2 linked regions of the Lytechinus pictus genome follow. The protein of the gene in region 2 binds, or shares a complex with, the protein of the main gene of each other region. Links are inferred from orthologs where the notes say so. Each region holds a gene or a part of one and is shown on either strand. Other genes may lie near its edges.

The links. The genes of interacting proteins can lie anywhere in the genome.
Region 1: GATOR2 complex protein MIOS-like (region 2) and GATOR1 complex protein NPRL2-like share a complex: the UniProt entries of both Drosophila melanogaster proteins name them as parts of the GATOR complex. The link is inferred for Lytechinus pictus from reciprocal best matches to the Drosophila melanogaster genes mio and Nprl2.

Annotation. Positions count from the first base shown.
Region 1 is NC_087247.1:42,697,633-42,708,416, forward strand, and holds the start of GATOR1 complex protein NPRL2-like, read right to left. Parts: upstream 4,334-10,784; 5' UTR 4,242-4,333; intron 4,020-4,241; exon of another isoform or gene 3,923-4,019; intron 3,749-3,922; exon of another isoform or gene 3,628-3,748; intron 3,308-3,627; exon of another isoform or gene 3,149-3,307; intron 1,642-3,148; 5' UTR 1,632-1,641; coding exon 1,548-1,631; intron 398-1,547; coding exon 306-397; intron 1-305. UniProt on the Drosophila melanogaster protein: An essential component of the GATOR subcomplex GATOR1 which functions as an inhibitor of the amino acid-sensing branch of the TORC1 signaling pathway.
Region 2 is NC_087257.1:8,781,678-8,792,850, reverse strand, and holds the start of GATOR2 complex protein MIOS-like, read right to left. Parts: upstream 5,005-11,173; 5' UTR 4,918-5,004; intron 3,248-4,917; 5' UTR 3,204-3,247; coding exon 3,077-3,203; intron 1,607-3,076; coding exon 1,497-1,606; intron 1-1,496. Other genes in the region: uncharacterized protein LOC129274479, read right to left, coding at 10,563-10,691. UniProt on the Drosophila melanogaster protein: An essential component of the GATOR subcomplex GATOR2 which functions as an activator of the amino acid-sensing branch of the mTORC1 signaling pathway.

The DNA of each region.
Region 1 (10,784 bases), on a different chromosome or scaffold from region 2:
TACAATTCGCTGTTATAAGATCAGCTATATTTGTTTAGCATGAGAGAATAGGAGAGATAAAAAAGATTTGGGGATTTGATCTGAAAAAAAAAGAGCAGCCCAACACCACGAAGACATGAAAGGATCGTCATCATGGCATAAAATAAATTGGGAATAAAAGTGACAATATAAATTTCTCATGTGAAATCTATCATAATTGGGGAAATATATCACATATATCATTTGACATTCCAACAAATAAGAACACAACTCATACAGGTAATTAAATTTTGTTTTGAATATTTGCAAGAGCTCTGCAAACTTACACGGTGATGAGCTTGTCTTGTAATTCAGGCTTTGGGATGATGTAGACAGAGACTATATCAAAAAGCTCCCTAGAAAAGTAATCATCTGGAACCTGCAGGTGAAAGGCAATGTACGTATTTCACAGCAAAATGCAATTTAGACTCTGTGAAACTTCATCATCAGGTAAAACCGATCATCATTCTTCAATATCATCATCATCATATTAAACCACAACCACCAACAAAATCATCATCATTATCATCAAGGTTGGAATTTGCCTAGATGGAATAAATCTGTCTATAGACCTCTCTTATTTGGCCTGTCTGGTTTTTTTTTTTTTTTTTTTTTTTTTTACATACATATATGGATTAGAAACAAAACAACAGAAAATAACTCTCCCTCTCCACTAAACCCAAATGCATTAGTTTATAAAAATAATCCATCAAGTTCTGTAAAGTTCTGTACTGACCACAACCTGAATGTATTTAGGAAACATCTGAAGAAGGAGGAGGGGAAGACAGAGATGGAAGGATAAAGGAAGATAAGAAGAAAATATGAATGTCATATAGGCCTAAATCATTCAATAGGCTTCATCCAACACCCTTTCAAAAATATGCTAACAACTGCTGTAAAATGTTGCATGGAAGCCAGATAAACAATCCCCGATTTACTTTTTTTAAACATCTATTTAGAGTTTTTTTTTCTTACAGTGGCTAACCAATTGGTGAATAAATGACTATAGTTGATATTATTTTTCATGATGAAAAGCTTAATTAAAACTACATGCAGCCATCAATCTCAGATGTTTTGTATATGAAATGGGACTTAACTAATATGCAATCAATAATATAAGAATAATATTCTGTGATAGTATGCAGTGTGGGTGTCGCATTTCTCCCCAGGGTCTCACTTTTTGCCCCAAAACTTAGAAGTTTGCCAAATCTATGAGAGTCAAATCTTGGGAAATCAACATTTACTGCAATATTTACCTTAGTATATCCATAGAGCTCTGTAATAGCTCTATGGTATATCTATAGTCTGTTAACAAACAAAGATATTTTGTTCAGTCCAAATATTAAGAGTTAGGCCTACAAGGTTATATATCTGAAAGATGAAAAGTGTCATGTTTCTCCCTGGACTCCCTGACTGTGTTTGTCATTTGGTGAGTGTACAATGCAGTAGCATACAGTTAAAAAAAATAGCCCAGTTCTACTAATTTCTTGAAAGTTTGAACATCTTATCAAAATTTTTAGTAGATCTACCTGATACGTGATTTTAGGTCCAGCTTGTGGGTGAAATTCACTGAAGAAGATGCATTTCAGTTTACCTGCAGGTAAAGCTGCCATACTTTTGAGTCTGTAAATGAAAAAAATAAAGAAGAAAGGAATTATTACATTATCGCAGACACATCTATTTTAGGTTAGTATGACAGTGTGTCCAAACGTAATATGTGATATCTCGTCTATGTTCATTTACTAAGTATCTACTTCTAAAAAAACATTTAAGGCTTGTGAATCTGACACTACCATACACTAACACAAAAATAGACTCCCTAACCTAAAGTTATACCTTGAAACGTCAATTCTTTTAGATGAAATAAGTAGGCCTATTCATGAAAATGTAGGATGGTTATTTTGTAATTTTCCTATTTTGTTCATTTTCTTTAACTTGTGTTTTCTTCATTTCTGTTCTGTCTAGACTTGTGTTCTTTTGCATTTCTTTTCAGCACTGCCCTTGCAGTCTGAACTTAGGTTATTTGAGTTTATATGACACCTAGATAGATCCTTGTGAATTGATTGGTTGTTTGATATCATTCATTCAGCCCATTTTGCTATTACGTCATCAACCATGCAATTTTGGATCCATACGATTTTGTCCATTACACGCGCGCACAGAGACTGCAGGCTGCAGGGACGTACTACTTGTGTTTCCAGTGCACATGTTGTAATGATGTAACAATCAGCAGACCGAACTCTTGCATCGAAATTCATAAATTTCATATGAAAAAAGGTAAATTTTTAGGTTTCATATAAACCAAATAATGATTTTTTTTTTCAATCGTGCAATGGAAAGAATACTTCATTCGGTTAAAGATGAAATGAATGATCCATTCAACTCAGCGATCATTTCATCTTTCACCTCATGAAGTATTCTGTCCATTGCACTCATAAACATTCATTATTTGTATATTAATTATATTCAGTTTTCATTCATCCTCCGATCTCCACATTGGATTCTTTTCCTCCGATTCTCTTTTGTCCTTCTCTATTCAGGTGTTCCACTCATTCAATCCCCCACCTGACTCCTTAGTTTCTAATGCCATTATTACATAATCACCAAGACATCTTTTATCACCTTCATCTTATTGTACATTGGTTTATACAATGAATTGGATTACTACATTTCAGTTGGGTTCTTCTATTTTCTTTAATTTCATTGGTTAGTTTTTTATAATGATTTAAACAATGTTGTTACTGTAGCAACAATTTTGATGTGGGCCGAGGAAGGCCAAAGGTATAAATAGAGTATTTTAATACATGAACAGACACAGATACAACACTACAGATCCAGTCTCTTTGTTTAGTTATTCTCTGTCTTCTGTTCCTGATATGTTGTTTGCTGTTATTGTTAAGTTCCTGAGTTATGCTGTTTTAAAACTGATTTTTTTATTCTCAAGTAGGTGTTTAGTTTTAATTCCTACAAAAATATTGACATAATACGAGTAAATTTGAAATTTGTCACCTTTCCGATAATTCTTTTTTTTTTTCAGAGCAGATAGATCTAGGCTACTAGGCCCGAGAGCCAGATCTATCAAGGCCTATATAGTCTATAAAAAGTACTATGAGTAAAATGTGTTACTAACCAAAATTTGTTGTCCTGTGCTTGTCTTTTGTTTCTATAGACCTCCAAAGCATACAAAATTAATGTCATGCTTTTTTAACAACCATTTCCAGTAGGCTGGGGGGTCGGGTGTCCGGACACTTTATCTTTTTGAAGCCTTCTTTTTTGTCTGTGGATTACACTAAAAATATGAATTCAATACTTGTAATCATATTCTGTTTTGTTCTTTATAATATTTCCTAACGTTTTGTACTAAAAATTGATGAAACTTCGCTTGTAATTTTTTCCAAATGACTTTCTAAAATTGATCGTCCGGACACACAACAACTGGGTATACTGCTCACACTCTTCGACTTGCATATTGAGACTGCGATAGACAGCGAAACGCCTTGACCTAGTATTTCACATTTTCCTCAATCAATTTTGAACTCTTAGTCTTAGTCTTACTATACATTTGATCTTGCCATCAATTTGGTAGATATCTAAATTTATATAAAATACCCAGTCGACAGTCTCGGATGATTTGGGCTTCAGTGACTTCAGTCTCTGTACTTATTGCCGCTGAACCCTGTCCCTGGGCACTGAAGTAAACTCTGACTCTGTAGGCTCCACTCGATAAAGTCTAAAGTAAAGAGACGGATTTCGAATTGACAATTCAGCTTATGTGGCCATGGCATGGCCATGGGCATGGCATAGCATGTCGGTTTGTTCTCACGTAATGAGAAGAATCCACATCTATTCCAGCCAGGAAACCCTTCCTATTCAATGTGTGCCCATGCAATTTTCTATGTCATACTCATAGGACATAGATCACGATGCATGCCCTGCCCGCGCCCATGCCATGGCTGGCTGGCCGGCTAGCGCCTAGCTCTGGAGCCTGGCCCGGTGGTAGTGTTCACGTCACCAAGCCAGCCGGGCCGGGCGGCAGGGGGCGTGCCCGTGCGTTCGGCCGGTCATGCAGCGCAGCAGCATAGCGCAAGAAAGGATGATGTTAGGACAGAGTTTCAAACTGCATGTCCCTCGAGCTCGGCTGATTGTAGGATAAACCAGATTTTTAAGGTAAGACAGTTAATGCTAAGGTTAAGGCTAAGGTGGAATGAAAAGTTCGTATTTACCGTAAATTCTGAAATGAGCAACTTGGCTACCCAAAGTCTCACTCCTCCTCCTGATCCTGAGAAGATCGAAGTGCGAATATGAACGGCTGCGCTTCAAGCAGGCGGCCCGCGATTTAGCTAATGTGTGCTTTGGATACAATTATCACAGAAATGTGTTATTTCTCGCTTCTTTTCGTGCATCAAAAATCACACGCATTGGTGATACAAAATGGTCTCTTGAATGTTAGAAAGTTGAATATATCACCCTTCTGTGCTGCGAGCACACACACGTACACGAGTAGAGAGGTGACTTATTTCAGGATAAGGCCAAAAAATCTGTATTCTGAGAATTTCTTGTATCTTTCCTTATAAGGCTTAAATTTTCTTGTAACTTTCATCTTTCCCGGGGGCGGGGGGGGGGGGGGGGGTCAAATATATTGCTGTACACAGTATGGTGAGACTACCAATACCACATATCGCGACCACCTCTTTTGAAACCGACCACCTTGCGCGCGTTAAAATTATTGCGTATTACAAACGATACGCGCGGGAGGGTAGGCGCAGTGTCCATAGAAACGGTATGAATCGATTTTACGAGAAAAAAAGAAGCAACAAAAAGTAAAAATTTAGTAGAATTAATCAAAATTGTATTGACCAAACCCAAACCCCGCTGAAAAACCAAGAAATCCGATAGGAAACGGCTTTAGAACAAATACCCGTCGTCAATCATCAAATCATGTGCCGGAGCTCGCACTGGAAGTAGTGAGACGATCATTTAGCATGTTGACATCATGATCATAGAAATGATTTGGAAGAGTAAAAATATTTCGCCACCGCGACAAGAATCGGCCGTAAACTTAGTGTATCGCGGGTGGTCGGTTTCAAAAGACGGGTGCAAATGAGCAAATGTAAAATCGTCGTATTCGTTTTTTGTCGATATATACGAGGATTGAATCGGAGTCGCCGAGCGAAATATGGGAATCTGATCTGCTCAATTTTCTGCACAAATGAGACGAAAACTGGGTAAAATTGATGAATATTTTCGCAGATGCTTAGAAGATTAGGTGGGAGTTAAGGGGTAGTTCCAACCATATGCATTAATAAGAACCTTGGGCCTGTTGCATGACGAGTACGACATGAGCGATACGTAGGAACGTCCTAGGACCATTCTTCCGAGATAGGAAGATTGGCGACAAATCAGCGGTTTCCGTTTCACGAAGGCAATTTAGTCTTCCAAGTCCGCGACATCGTTTGATATCGATAGTATCGGAAAAAATATTTAGTCTTCATCGTCACCTGAACCTTTTAGTTTCATTTCGGAATGACAACTTTTCATAAAATCATAAATTTCAATAAAAGGAGATCAAATAATGTTTTATTTATTACTGATTGTAGAATTGATGTATACTATGGAGCTTACTTTATGAGGTAAAAAGATACAAAAACTTTAAAGATTCACAAACAAAACTGGATAAAATCGAAATTTTCATTATTTCCCTTATTTAGAACATGATGTCCTTTTAGAGACACCTTTCATTGATATTGCAACGAAATAGACCCTTGTCCAACATAAAAATTGATTTAACTAAGTAATTTCGACATTGTATTAGTTCAACATTCTGAATTTTTATTGAATACTTAGTTATAATGATAATTTTGCAAATCATGCGTTAAATGTTATTTGTTGAGATAAAAATAGGGTTTGAATGGATTAAACAAAATCAACATGTCTGATTGTATGAGACTAAAAAAGAAATGTGAGAGGCTGCGTGTGAAAAATCTAATTTATTTATTTTATTTGTCAGATATAACGCAAGAAATACAAATGTGAGTGTTTAGAGTACACATACCTCATCAGTTGCATGATGAGTAACCGAAGACAAGGAAAATATGAAAATTGCTGCAAACATGTCCAAGTGGATAAAGTAGTGCTTTGCAATAATAATTAAAACATAGAAAAATGTGTGAATCAATCCGCAATGGAAAAAATGCTATTTACAGAAATAATGCTAAAAATTACAACGATCATAAACGTTGGTCATATTAAAGTTGATCACTTTATGGAAGTTTATATAAGAATATAAGGTTTAAGAATATGAAAAATATATATGTTCAACATTTCAAAGTTAAGGAGTAGAGACTACATTATGACATAGGGGCCGATAGGGCTTACCCTACTATTTAATATGCGCCTCTAGGTATGGACTTTCCATAATCTTTTCTTTTATAGGTACAATGAATTCATCTTCATTTGTAATGATTGTGATGGATTCTTAAGCTATATGAGCCTAATCTGTATCTTAAATTCAATTAGCTATTTTGTTACTGCAGAATTTTTGTTTTGTTTCCTGTTTCACATCTCATGCTAGCCCAAATCCAACAATTAATTTTCATTGATTAAAATTAATCTCAGCCAAAAAAATAATAATTATAATGAAAATTAAATAAAAATAAATAAATGATTTAGCATGTTTAACATCTTAGTTTTGTATTGTGTTTTTTATTGCTGAACCGTTATAAACACGTTTTTTAGCATACATAATTTTATTTTTTTAAATTGTTTTTATGTTGTTTACAGGGGTGTGAGAGTTCAGATTTTTATCTCATTTCAGATTTTTTTTGTTTTGATTTTCAGCTTAATTTCAGCTTATTTTTGGCCTTCCTCTGTACAAAAAGTATGGGAGCTCTTTCTATTTCAGACTTTTTCAACACTCTTCAGCTTTTTTCAGATCTTTTTATTTGTGACCACTCACACCCCTGGTTGTTTATATAATGGACTAAATGAGAAAGCATGAGGGGTCAGAGAGATAGTGCAGCCCATTTCGATATTTCAAGTTTTTTTTTAATGGAAAAGGGGTGGGGATAAGACGAATAATAAAAGAAAACATGTTAAAAAAAATATTTGGGCCTACATTACCCCCGGACATACCCTGGATAAGTTAAAATGACATCCGTTTTTGGTCGTCTTGCCATGCAAAAAGACAACCTGAAATTGATGACAACTAGCCCCCATATAAAAAAATAAGTTGGCGCCATCCCAGATAAAATGCATCAGATTGCAATCGAATGACACCCCAAAAAATGTGATATGTCAGTGTGGCTTGCCGTAAACGCATTTTCTCTCAATGCCGACGGTGGCGGGCGGTGTGCAAAGAAGATCATGTCTACGTAGGACATGTCTGGTCTCTGGAGGTGTCTTTCCAAGGACCATTCTTGGTATCGCCCAAATCGGCTTTGTGAAACAGTTGAGCGATAACTCGTTCTTACGTAGAACGGTTCTACGAAAGACCCTTTCATGCAACAGGCCCCTTGTCTATTTGTTGCTCTGGGCTATGAAGCTTCAGGTGCTATGGCAGCTAACAATGAACATGATCCCTGTGCACATAAAAGAACAAACGATTACACCAATGATGCAGTGTGCATAATACATAATCCTCTATCTCCCCCCTACCTCGGGCAAAGTTTGTGCAGGCTCCACTTCACTACTGCTACACTACGCTCCACCTACCCGAACTTTGGGACCGTGAACTCGATCGGATATTCCGAGTGACAAAGGTGGGATCAAAAAGTGGTTTATTGTAAAAATTATAGAAAAAAAATAGCTTAATTTCTTACTCTACACCCTCATTTCACTCCGTGTCCATCCTCCGGTTATCCTCAAAATTGGTGATTTTGGGCCAGTATATAATTCCTCACACGTATTATTCACGGCCGATTTCAAAACATTGCATGCGATCGGTCGCAGGCCAAATAGCATAAATGACTGATTGAATCTGATGACCGGGGTAATAATATATCTGTAAAGCGCTTAGACACGTCGTTCCGATGTATTAAGCGCTATATAAAAAACGGATTATTATTATCATTATAAATATCTATATCATATTGGATGGCTCAGAAAATACCAGAAATACCGGTATTCTAAGAGTTTGGGAAAATATTCCAAGAATCAGAGGAATATTTTTTTAGTCAAGGATAGCTTGTAAGTACTTCTCACATGTGCGAACGCTGTCAGGGGTGATCTCAAAGCCAGCGAATTCGACGATATCCGCACAGAACGTGAACTTCCTAGGATTGAGGGTAATCCCTTTTTTGGCCGCAGATGTCTGGACAGCCATTCAACAGCCTGGAAGAAACTGTCTTCCATCGTGTCAGCCCACAGGAGGACGTCGTCCGTCGACGCATTTCGTCTTATTTTGGATATCCGAGACGATTTCATCATACCGCCTGGTGTATCCATCTCCTGAGGTAATGTAGCCCTGAGGGGCTGTCTTGTAACTGTACCTGCCCCATGGGGTAATGAAAATGGTGAGGTGTCGGTCCTCTGGGCATATGGGGACGCTGTGGTAACCATTCCATGCATCTAATACCGTCTTCTTTTTCCCGTGGGGGACAGAACAGGCCTGAATGAAGGGTGATGGTGTATGGTGCGTTTCACGTGTAGCATGGATGTTGAGGGCTTGAAAGTCGACTGTTCGACGCGGTTTACCGTCCTTTTTAGCACGGACCACCATCCTGTGGCATCATGTAACAAGCTCCCCAATGGGTACAGGTTCCAGCACGCCCAACTGCACGTCATGATCCAAACCAGCCTTGACGGCATCATGCCAATGGAGTGGGACCCGCACAGGTGTGTGATGAGCGACGGGTTCCGCATCTGGGTCCACCATCAATTTCATCGGGGGGGCTATCCATGAGTGGCAAGGGCTGATGCTCACAGGTGTTGAATGTGCTGGACTGGTAGTAATCTAGGAGATACTGTTGTAGCTTCTCATGGTTTGCGTCAGTCGCAGGAAATGGCAGTTTTGTAGGAGGCGATGGGGGCAGTTGACGCCGAGGGCAGGGACAGGCGGTCCGCTCGGGAGCCCCTTGAGGGTGGCTGCTCTGTCTGGTTGGTGTGCCCCTTGTGTCATGCCAAGAGTAGGGAAGCTGTTTGAGATGATCCCCAAGTCAATGCAGGCCTCTTTGCTGAGGAAGAGCTTATCAGAACTGTCTGTGATGTAAGTGAGTTGCCGTGACTTGACCATGTGGCCAAGAGGATCTTGGCCAGAGAGGCGTAGGGGGACGGCTCCGAGGATCGTAATGCCGCCGTCAGTTGCGGTGTGCATCGCCATGGTGAGATGAATAAGGTCTTGCTGACGTAACCCATGGCGGCGGAGGACCTTTAACCCGGCGAGGCAGCTCTGGCACGCAGTGTCCGCCATGGCTGGGATGGCGCTGGTTTGTGAGGGGGATGAAAGGTTAAACCTGAGGGCTCGATAGTCCTCCGGAACAGCCCTTACAGTCACGTTGAAGTATGGCTGAGGAGTTGATCTCTTCTTGTGCCATGCTTGGGAAAAGTCATCATATATATACGTGGTGATCAATTGGGAGGCCATGTGGTTGTCCTAGGTCACGGATAGTACAAAGGGTATCGAAGATGGCCCCCTCCTGCTCACCCGAGGAGGTCGACTGTGACGTTTTCGGCTTGCCCTTGGTGCAGCAGACGTCCTCCACGTGGTGGAACTTGTCGTAGTGACCACATTTCTGTCCATAGGCCAGGCACTGGTGACTGCGTCTTGCGGACACAAGCTGGGGCACTCCGTCCATGCCCTTTCTTGCCACAGTAGGCACACAGTTCCTGTTTGTACTTGGGCCCTGGGTTCGCCTGCTTAGCTTTCCTACAGGAGGAGCTGCTGGCCGTTTCCGAGTGTGAGTCGAGGAGAGAGGAGGCAGAGCGTTTACCAGCCTCTTTTGTTTCAACGAACTGGAAAACCTCTTCCAGGCCCATGTCTTGGTTTTTGTCCCTTAAAAGATCAAGCTGGATTTCAGAATCGGCAATCCCTCTGATAAGCACATCCCGCATGATTGCGTCAGTGTAATTGACTTATTGACATCAGCATTACAGGCAGGGCAAGCTATGATGAATTTGCAAATATCTGCTTGTCCCCGCAGACGGGCAACGAAGCTGCGAACTGTCTCGTCCCTGTCTTTGACGCATGTTGTGGAGTGTCACATGGGCAACCATGGTGTTCTCCTCTCGTACAGCGAGCTTCTTGATGGCTGTCAGCACCTCATCCTCAGTTTTGTTGGTGAGGCTGCCACCAGCAGCTCGCGTGAGGTCCTTCCGTAGGGGCTCGTCACAACACTCAAGAAGCTGTACAATCTTGTCTTTCCCAGTGATCTTAGTGGCATCAACGTAGTCGGACCACCGCGACTTAAGTATGCCCATTCCTCGCTGGTGCCAGCAGCAGCAATCATTGGTCTCTTGACCATCTCGACCTTGGCGGCTTGTCCACAGGTGTGAATGGTACTGTGGGCAGTGAGAAGGGCAGCTACGATGGCAGCATCAAGGTCTGGTGTGGCGTAGTCACAGCCGGGTATTGGGCAGTTAACGGTAGGCATGTTGGAGAGTTGACCGTGTTCATAAATAAGAACCTTGTCTATTTGTTGCTCTGGGCTATGAAGCTTCAGGTGCTATGGCAGCTAACAATGAACACGGTCCCTGTGCACATAAAAGAACAAACGTTTACACCAATGATGCAGTGTGCATAATACATAATCCTCTATGCATGACCAAAAAAA
Region 2 (11,173 bases):
AATGGAGGCCCCGTGTAGAGGAGAGTCATCACCTTTGCACGTTAAGAACCCACTGCACTATTCGTATAAGAGTAGGGGGAAACAACGGTGTAGTGGTCCACCTGCACTTCCCCAATCAGTTATATCGGGAGAGACCTGAGGGTCATAGTGATTCAGTTCGCTTTTCGCCTCCCAGGCACAGGTGACGACAAACAAATAATAATAATAATGTATTAAAGTCTTATTTATTATTATTTCATGTTCATCATTGATGTTATATGTTTTATTGTTTCCAAAACAGGGCCTCATGAAAGACCACCAATCTTGCGATTTGTGTCACAAATATCAGATAGAAAATAAATAAATAAATGAATAAATAAATACATACATAAATATATACATACATTAAATAAATAAATAGATAAATAAATAAATAAGTATGTAAGTAAACAAATAAATAAATAAATAAAATGAATATGAAGAAGGATATGGAGAATTTATATTCAAGTTAGTTTGGCTCATCTATAACAATTAGAATCATCACATTATCAATGTTTGTGTGATAATTTATCTTATGTTTCATTTCTTTTTTATTAATTCTAGATTCTAGCAATTACCACAATACTTTTCCCCCATTCAATATCCAAACTTAAATGTTATTCAAAGTTGATTTATCAAATGATTTCCACTCTCCAAGCTCGATGTACATGTATTTATAGTTAGAAAGCCACTTGTACTAATGGAAGAATCTCTGGGATTTAGATAGCAAAAAAATATTGATTTGAATCAATAGAGATAAATCAAACAGGCATAACGCTAAAAACTTCATCACATCGGATGTAAAATAAGGAAGTTATGACATTTTAAAGTTTTGCTTATTTTTCGCAAAACGCTTATATGCACAACTCATTGACAGAGTCCATGATGTACCTCACTCACGAATTCTTTTGTTTTATGGTTTGAATTATACAATTTTTACAGATTTGACAATGATGACCAACTTGACTGAGCCACAAAATGTCAAAACTGACCTCTCAGCGTATAATAATAGCCAATATTTATATGGCGCTTTTCCCAGAATGGCTTAAAGCGCTTTACAGCATATTATTACCCCGGTCATTGGATTCATTTCAATCCCGCACGAAAAGTGCACAATTTTCACTCCCCGGGGAGCATTCCTTGCATTCATCGCAGCCTCATTATGGGCGCTGGCAAATTCAAACATACAATATCTTTCGCATCCTACCGGGTACCCATTTAGCACCTGGGTCGAGAGTGGCAAAAGTGTGGATTAACGCCTTGCCAAAGGATGCTAGATCGCGGTGGGATTCAAACACACGACCCTTGTTTGCAAGGCGAGAGTCAGAACTACTACACCACGGCTCTTCCACTGGTTGAGGATAACTGGTTGAGGTATCTTTTTTAATAATAAAAACCTCCACGACATGTCTGTTTGCGTTGGAAATAGATACCTAAGATGGAAGTGATCTAAAAATATCAGATCAATGAAGCCTTACTTTTATTCTTTGCACTTCATCTTTGTTGTTTGTAAAGAGATCCGACTTGGAGAACTGAAGGCGAGCAAATCCCGTCTCGGAGACCTGCCGACCTGACGGCTTAGACGATCCTGTCAAAAGAATAGAAGTATCAGGTGATTTGAGCATCATTTATTTACTGCAATTAGTACATGTATAATGTGTATCATCAGGGCCCCATCATACAAAGAGTTGCGATTGATCCGCTCAACCACAACTATGGACGTCCAACAACGTCAAGATCTAACATGCAAATTTGTTCAAAATATTTTCTTGATATGATGTATATTCATACATTCATCATTCTCTTGAAGATTCAGTGTGATTCTCTTTGTTTCCTAAGGAGAGTGTGCAAATTTCCTGCAGAAAAAATTATGGTATGGATGGATTTCCATAGAGTTACGATTGATTGGATCAATCGTAACTCTTTGTAAGACGGGGCCCAGTTGTAACTAAAGTGGATACATGTATTCAATACATTTTGGAGGCGATATCATTTCTAAATGTGCAATCTGAAAAAAGATGTCAATTTCTTTACAATACAATGATTATATTACAATTACTATTACTATGAAATAATCAAACTTCTCGTAGGTTCGACCCCCATATTTCTCTATTTTTACTTTATCTTGTGAATTGCCCAAGACATGATAATGCGAGGGCTTTCTCATATGAACTTTTCACACTGTAGAAAGGTTAATTGTACATTTGGTTTGCTTTTGTTTGACATCTGTTCAGTTCATTTAGTTCAGTCTGGTATGTGTTTCAGTCAGCTACCTATAGATACTTGTGTTCTTATACCACGGTCACATTTGCTCTACGGCCGCCGTACGGCGAGTCAAAAACAGTCGTTTCAACATTTTTTGTACCTGCTACATGATATAGACATGATAGATGGTTTGAATAACAATTAATAAAACGGCTGCTTTCGACTCGCCGTACGGCCGCCGTAGAGCTTATGTGACCGAGGTATTATTCATCACATCAGCCACTATCCTACTCCTCTAGTCATCTTCATTCCTTTCCTATTCAGATGTACTCATTCATTCCATCCTCATATCTGGTACTTTTGTTGAACATTCTTCATTACATAATCACCCTTGTCATTTACCCATCATCACGTCAGTCCTTTTTCACTGTTTATTTTTATGAATTGGGCAACTACATTTTCTTTGGGTTCTCCTATTTTCTTGAATTTCATTGGTTAGCTTTAGGTTAATGTAAATAATGTAATGTTACTGTGGATACTACTTCATGTAGGGCCAGGAAGATATAAGAAGAAAGATATTTTTGTTAATAAAGATGCAGATACAGAGATAGATACACCCAGTCACTCTCATCGATTATTTTGTTCACCGTCTTCGGCTCCGTATGTTCCTGTTATATTTGCTGTTATGTTCCTGTTGAATTTAAACGGATATCATTTCTTCCCATCGACAAATCAAACCTCCCAATACAAGTAGATGTTTATTTCACAAACCCTACAATATGAACTAGAATAAAGAGACAAATCATTTCAGGAAAGTCAGAGATCTACTGCCTTATAATGGTAATTGTCTTACCATAGTTGGCGAGTGGCTCTACGGCAAACTGATTGAACTCGACTTGGTTGGTTCCAACAGAAAGAGAAAAGAATGTCTCGGGATGCACTGGGGACCACTGAACATCCTGTGTCCACTTGCTCGTCATCTTGGTATCCAAATTCTAAGGTAGAGGATTGCAACTCGGCATTACTGTCAAAGTATAATAGAGAATGATACGAGAAGGATTGTAAATGTAATTATGAGATGTTGGGGGCAATTGACTGTCTCCTTGACTTAGATGTTTTGGGATGTACAATTTACAAAAATATAGCTACCGGTACTTTTATTGACAGGTAGGTTTATCAAGGAAGTCATACACTGTATTCAGCGCTGACTGATTCATTTCATCAGAATCATCACTGACGAACTAAATCCGACTCATGAACTGTCTTATCTATTCTTCAAAATTGGAACCAGCGTGTACATCGCTAGATGGAAAATTCTCCATAAAATTGTGCATACTAGTTCACATTTCAACGAGTAGAATTAAAGACAGTTTACAAGTGAGATGTATTTCATCAGAACCATCAATGATAGACTAAATTTCACTAGTAAATTGTCTTGCTGGCCATAAGTGGCAACAGACGGAATAAAAAAAAAAAAAATAAATAAAATTGTATTAAAAAAGAAGAAAGAAAACAGAAAGGGGATAACATTTGATCTCTCTGGCATGTCTGGCTTGAGACATTGCAGGACAGGTGCCTTTTCAACTGCTCTTCCTTATTTCAACATCTCAATCAAAATTTAGGTCTATGAATGATTGAAGTTTTAAAATAATGAAAATCTAGTAATCATCACAACCTCAGACTCGGTGTCATGTTAAAACATTATAATTTTCATAAGAATAATAAAAAATTCAAACCACCATTTTGAGGGGAATAATACACTGAGCCTACTATGGGGCTCATACTGACTGCTAGATGGCTAGCCATCTGTGTAGGATGAGAAATCAAACAAGTGAAATAAAAAATGTTCAAATACTCCTCCATCAAATCAAACGGAACAGTTGGTAATTTTGGGAACTGAAATATTCACAATTTCACGATTCTATTTTAGAGTTCTAGTCAGGCAGATTATATATTGACTGGGTATAATAAAAAAATTCACCAATTTGATCCCAAAGCTAGACTTAACTCTGTATGACTTGGCGTAGACAGCTGGCAGCCATCTGTTTCGAGTTTTTTAACATTTTAATTTTTTTTAATTTCTCCTCGTACACAGACGGCTCGCTATCGTGCAGCCACCATTAGGGGGTTTACAATGCAAAATCCCCCCGACGGGTCTTATCTATTTTTATTTCATACAAATACATAAAAAGAACTGTACCAAAATTAAGATTATTATTCCGTTTTAGCCTGAAATGCACCAAAACGGGGAAAAATAAACTTAAAAGGGGGAAAAACAGTGACTTACTTCGGCTGTCGCGCAACTTCACTTCCCGTTTTAAACTTTTATCCGAACTTAACGGCCATTGAGTCCCTGTACATGTCGCACTAGAACTTCGGTGTCTGTATTTGGTGAGTGGAGCCAATGGAGTTCAGCGGAACAACCAACATAACATAGACCGAAGCTTTTGGTCTAGACTTCGCGCAGCGCTCTCGCAATTGCATTGAATTTGTGTGATTCTGGCCCGACATCATTTACAGGGTGTGGGACTGTATATTTTGCGAATTCTTAATCACTCAAATCAGTTTCATATTTTGAGCTACAAAATGTCATAAACAATAAATAGTTTGGTACATTTGACAAATTAAAATGAAGGAATCTGGGATGCATCTAAATCTGAAAGACAATGAAACAAATAATTATTTTTTTCTTACCTCTATCCTGTAAGAAACTGGATCGCCCTTTGCAAAGTGATTTCGGTTTGTGTGATCATTGATTGCGATGGCTCCCGCTGCTAAAGGTGGCGACTAATAAGCTCATGAATACGACGTTGTACCATAGAGATGTATACTAATTACGTTATTAGTATACATCTCTATGCGTTGTACCGATCATATCCGTATGCATAATGCATGCGACCAAGCGACTAATAAAGGCAATCTCTTGATCCTCGGAGGGGTGGGCAACAGGGTACTGACCGCGGAACTGTGGGGGGGGGGGGGGGGGGAGGGGGGCTTCAGCCCCCACTCTTTTTAGTGACCATGAAAAAAAACCCGCGAAAATGACCATCTAATTGTGAAAAAAAAAAAGAAGAGTATCAATAGAGATCTCTGGTTCGATTTTAACTCTGTATTACCCTTAATCAGGGTGCTAAATAACTTTTTAGAAGCACTTGCCCAGTCGGGCAAGTACATTTTTGAATGGTTCAAATATACTTGCAAAAAATTTATTTCACTTGCCCGAAAAAAATCATTGAAAAAAAAAAGTTTCACCCCTTCAAAAGAAAGTATTGCGGCTTTATGAACCATTGACCTTTTTCTCTCTTTTGACCTGATCTAGTACCTTGTTATTGACATCGACCGTAATTTTGGCCATTCTACTGTGAGAATTCTACTTGCCCAATTTTGGCAAGTAGTTTTGGTCTTTACTTCAAAACACTTGCCCGACTCTAACTTTTACTTGCCACGGGCAAGTGCTTACGTAGCACCCTGCCTTATTTCAATTGGGAAAAGGAATTCGTCACCACATTTTAACAGTGGCGTAACAGGCGGGGGGGCATGGGGGGCAAGTTGCCCCCCCTGGCGGATTTCACCGGGAAAAGAAAAGAAAAACGGGAAAAAGAAAAAAGGAGGGAGAAAGAAAGGGGAAGGGAAAGGAAAGGGGAAAAGGAAAGGGAAAAGAAAACGAAGAAATCCCATTTTTTTAATGGAAAAGGAAGGAAAGCGGGAAAATGTAGGAAAGAAGAACATTAAGGCCTATGTAATGCAATAACACGGTGGGAAATAAATTAAAAGATAAAAAATGGCAAACAATAGCGGGAAACGAAGGTAGAATGTAATTCGCCAAAAGCTAAATTGGAAAACAAAGGAAAGGGACAAGAAAAATAAATAATAATACGACCGGGCTGCCGATGATTGAAATTAAAGAACGGGAAGAAAGACGGGCTGCATACAACATTGTGCTATCACGTTGCTAAATTTTATGCAAATGAGCTACCGGTGCTTTGCCCCAGACCCCATGCAGTAGGGGTTCTTCATTTAAAACCTTCAAATGGCTCTATAACGCCCCCCGTTCAATCACTGGCATACAGGCGCGGAGGGGGGGGGGGGGGTCTTGGTTCCACACCCAAGAGGAAATAAAAGAAATTAAAGGAGACAACATATAATGAAATGAACGGAACCAATGAAATGTGTTATTTGCTGAATATAATGAAAAAATCTATCACATAATTAGAATTTAATTTCAATAGGCAATATTTTTCCAGCTCGCTTTGCACACTGGCGACTTTTTACAAACTTTTCCAAAATTGCTATGTTTTGCCCCCCCCAAATATTTGGTGATTACGCAACTGGGTTAAATAAATGTGTTGTGTAAGAGCTATATTCTGTATATGCCCGCGATTTTGATTAAAATAGCGGCAATCTTTGAAGTTTTACATGTTTTATGATGGCTTTGATATCAAGAAGTTCCGGGGGCTCCGCCCCGGACCCCAACCGCACAGCACTGCGTATGGAAGGGTTGGGCCATGGCCCCAAAAAGTTCTACAGACAAGAAAAAAAAGGAGGAAAGAAAAGCAAAGGAAAAGTGTAGGATATGATTTTATTTACTGAATATAATGTCAAAAAATAGCTCAAAGTTAGATTCTCATGAAAAGGTGATTTTTTTCTCGCTCGCTTCGCTCGCTCTGGACTTATATAGAGCAGCTTTTTAGAACATGTGCTATACTGCGCCCCTCGTTTTTTTTTTTTTTTTACTCTTCACGCTACTGCCGCAAAGAATCCTGTTCACAGTGGCGTACAGACCACAAAAAAAGGAATCTAAAGAGAGAAGAGTGAAATATATTATTTTTTGGATATCATGTCAAAAATCTAGCACAACATTTTAATTTTTCAATTAAAAAGGTCAAAATTTTTGCTCGCTCGCTTCGCTCGCTTGAAACTTTTTTTAAAGATAAATTCAGCCCGATACGCAATATCTGGCCTTCTCAATGTGTCGCCTCATTACACCATTACGCCTGTTCATACCATGATATGACCGGGAAATTTTTGGCTCTTGCCCCCCCTGGCCACCGACCCCTGTTACGCCGCTGCACATTTAGGTCCCTAGCTAGTCCCACCTCTGGCCTGCAAGATACCGTGATAAATCATAGGGGCATCATTTTTTAAATATCATTTTGTGTCTTGGGGATCCTGCGAATTGACAGTATAAATGAAAGTGGCACATGCCTATTCTCCATTGCTTCATCCTACGATGAGGAATAAAAAAATAGGATTGATGTATTAAAAGATAGGATTGATTTGAATCATATTCGTGTGTTCATTAATTGGCAACGAAAGTTTGACGAAAGGTGTCCTGCCCGGTGTCCTGTTCAAAGCTAAATGAAATGTGTGCCATTCTCTTCACAAATCGGAGTTCGAGTTTATTTGAATGAATGGAATTATAAAAATCAAGAAGGGGCCATTCAATAATTAAAACAATGAAACATAAATCTCCTCATTCGAGCTTGACCACACATTTTACAAAACAACCCTAAATGAGTTATTTCTCAATTTTATTCGGTTTTATCCCCCCTGATGTACAATTTTACACAGGACATTTTAATAATGTCTATGCAAAACATAGGCTTATCGTAAAAAAAAACCCCACAAGGTCAACAATATCTGAAAATACATGATTTAACTATAAATAGTTTGCCACGATCTTTCTATATTTTTTTTGGTACTATAATAACAAAATATGAAATGATACATAAATGATTGCCACAACCAAGCTTGAAATTGAAAGTAGAAATGGAGAAACGAGATGCCGGGAGAGATAAATGATAGTAAAAAAGAATGTGTTTGCGTGTTATAGAGAGAGATAGAGAGAGTTTCAAGTTTCAAGTTTATTTTTATTGATTTCAAATCCAAACATAAAGGATTACAATAAAAATGAAATGCACAATTTTTTTTTACAAATTAGTATCGAACATCAAGTAATTTACAATGATAAATTAACATTTCTAACAATAAACAGAGTGACAAATTAAACGAAACCAAAACAAAAGGAGAAATATAACAAAACAAATCAAATGCAGGAAAAAAAAATCAACTATATGCTGTCAGAGAGAGTGAGAGAGAGAGAGAGGGGGGGGGGGAGAGGGCATTATAGAGAGAGGGGGGTGGTAGGGGCCGGGGAGAGGGCCGGGAGATAAACCTTTCCTGATAATATCCTAAGAATTTACAAATTGAAAAAATGAATTCCCAACCTATTCAAACCCCTCTAGCTCTCTCTGCACCTTATCCCCTCTTTTAAAATTATGGGGAAAATTGTAAGCACCAAGTGGAATACCTCAACATTAAACCACTCTCTCTATCTCTCTTCACATGCCTTACCGATTCATTTGTTACATTATTCCCTCATTTCTTTTCATTCCCTTTTCTTTCTTTTTTTCCTTCCTTTGTTTTCTTTCTTTGCCTTTTCTCTCTGTCTTTTTTCCTTTCTGTCTTCTTTCTTTCTTTCCTTCTTTCTTTCTTTCTTTCTTTCTTTCTTTCTTTCTTTCTTTCTTTCTTTCTTTCTTTCTTTCTTTCTTTCTTTCTTTCTTTCTTTCTTTCCTTCCTTCCTTCCTTCCTTCCTTCCTTCTTTCTTTCTTTCTTTCTTTCTTTCTTTCTTTCTTTCTTTCTTTCTTTCTTTCTTTCTTTCTTTCTTTCTTTCTTTCTTTCTTTCTTTCTATGATTCATTTTATTTTGTCATTCTTTCTTGTTCTTTTTCTTATTTTTTTCCTTCCTCCCTTCCTTCCTTCCTTCCTTCCACCCTTTCTACTTTTTAAAAAAACTGTTTGTTCGTTTCTTCCTTCTCGTCTTGTCCAGCTCCCCTCTTTTCATTTCTTTACTCACCGTGAATAAGCATAATTTCATACTCCTTTCACTAAAATCGGTTTAAAAAAGCTGATTTAATCAGGATAATAACAATTTATACAAACATACACTTTTATTTTAAGGCGAAACCTACTATCCACATAACGAGATCACACTCTCTCTATCTCGATAAATAATGCATACAATTTAATGTCTTAATTCATGCAAACAATTAATATTAATCATACATGCAACTATTTCAAAGCATTCAGCAATAATATGAAATAAGTAAAATCATGATATCACAAAAATATATTGGCAAAAAGATTGTTATAGTTGGGAAAATGAAATGACTTATCATGATTGTAATGATAGTATTAAGAGATCATGACATGTATGTTACAATCAAGCAATAACAGCTTTTACAAATAAAACATTTTACTTCAACTATTTCTTTAATGTCCAACATGCCCCATCAATAAGTTGATTTGATCATAGAAATAAAATTTTACAAGTATGAAATTGAACTATTAAAAAAATCGAATGTTGAAAATAATGCAAAATAAAAAACGAGACATTACTATCACACAGAATAATAACTTTTAAATTTAATTTTATAAAAAATGTATTTTTTTAATACTTTAATTGTGTCATTTATTCTTGAGTTGACCAAGTGGCCCAGTGGGCCTAGATTATACGGCTCCACTGCTTAGAATGTGGGATTATGGGTCAGGAACCCGGTCAAAGTTGAGCAGTTGAAGCTTGAGGTGGTGCTATATCATACAATGTAGTATAGTGGCGCTGTTTTGTCTCGGTTTTAAATTGTGCAGAATAACCAGTATTAATGTCATGGACTCGCTTGTTCGCATATCAGTGATGCGTTTATAACCTTCTTACTTTACATCAGATTTTAATGAAATTTTCAGTACACCCGTCTGACTTTTGTCTTTATTCATCATTTATTAATTCATGTTTTCTTTATAAAAAAAACAGGCTAGTCCCATTCAAGCCAGCTAGAGGCCTGCTTTACAAGGGAGCCCTGCTATCTTGTTTGACCTTTAAATAGCGAATCCACCTAGAAAAAACATGCAGTCTCGTGGAAAAAATCTTTATAATCCAAGTAGATTAGTCATCATGGGTCAGAAAAGGGTAATAGAAGAGGGTGGGGAAAAGGGCCCTTCTGACACCCGGGCCAGGCGGGTGTAATTGGGGTTATGACATATTTTCCTTAGAGCTTGTCGCAGAATTTTAGAAGAAAGAAATGACCCCTTGTCAATGTGCCCCGAGTGCCCGATCCTAGATCCGCTGTTCCCTAATCTACTTTCCTCAAAACTCGAGTGGTAAATCGAAAAATTTCCAGAAACATGAAGACGTCCATAAATAATGATTCGTCCCATGCATTTTTTTCTTCAAAAAAGCTTTTGTTATTCATCTTATTCCTTAAAAACAATTTTCGAGACAATTGACCCCTTACACTCTGTTTATATCTGCCTATCAACGTTTGGACCGGTTACACCAAGGCATCATCTATGAAGATCATCGAACATGACCGTACTCTGTGTGTCGTTGGGTCCTTGTAAGCTCGGTTTCAGAGGAGGATCGTTCCGCCTGACGTAGTCCCGTAAAAACGCTTGGACACCACGTACTCCTTGCTGCGAGAGAAGAGGAAAAACAATTCACATGAAATTAAAACGAGAGGTTTGATTTCTTGTGATTGAGAAAGACGCTATATAGGCGTAGCTGAAATAAAAACGGCGGACGAATGAGGAGAACTGTAAGAATTATTCTAGGTCCTCGCTTCACATCATATATGCGTGACTCTGCACTTGAAACACTTTACTTAAAGTTTTTAGCTGATTGAAGAAAGGATTTAATTATGTCTTTCCTTTGCACAGAAACTGGAAAAGAATGAAAGACTATCACACCTGATCCCTAAGCCGAAGGATGTCGGCAGAATCCTATATAAGAAACAGTAGGGTCAGGCAACTGAGATGTAGGACTCAAAGACTTCGACAAAGTACCATCCCTTACCTTGTTGACTTATTGTAACTTATATGTAACTGAAAATTCTCATAATTTTTGTTAAGATTTTGATTACTTTGCTTTTAGAATATCACTTTTCCAATATAAACTG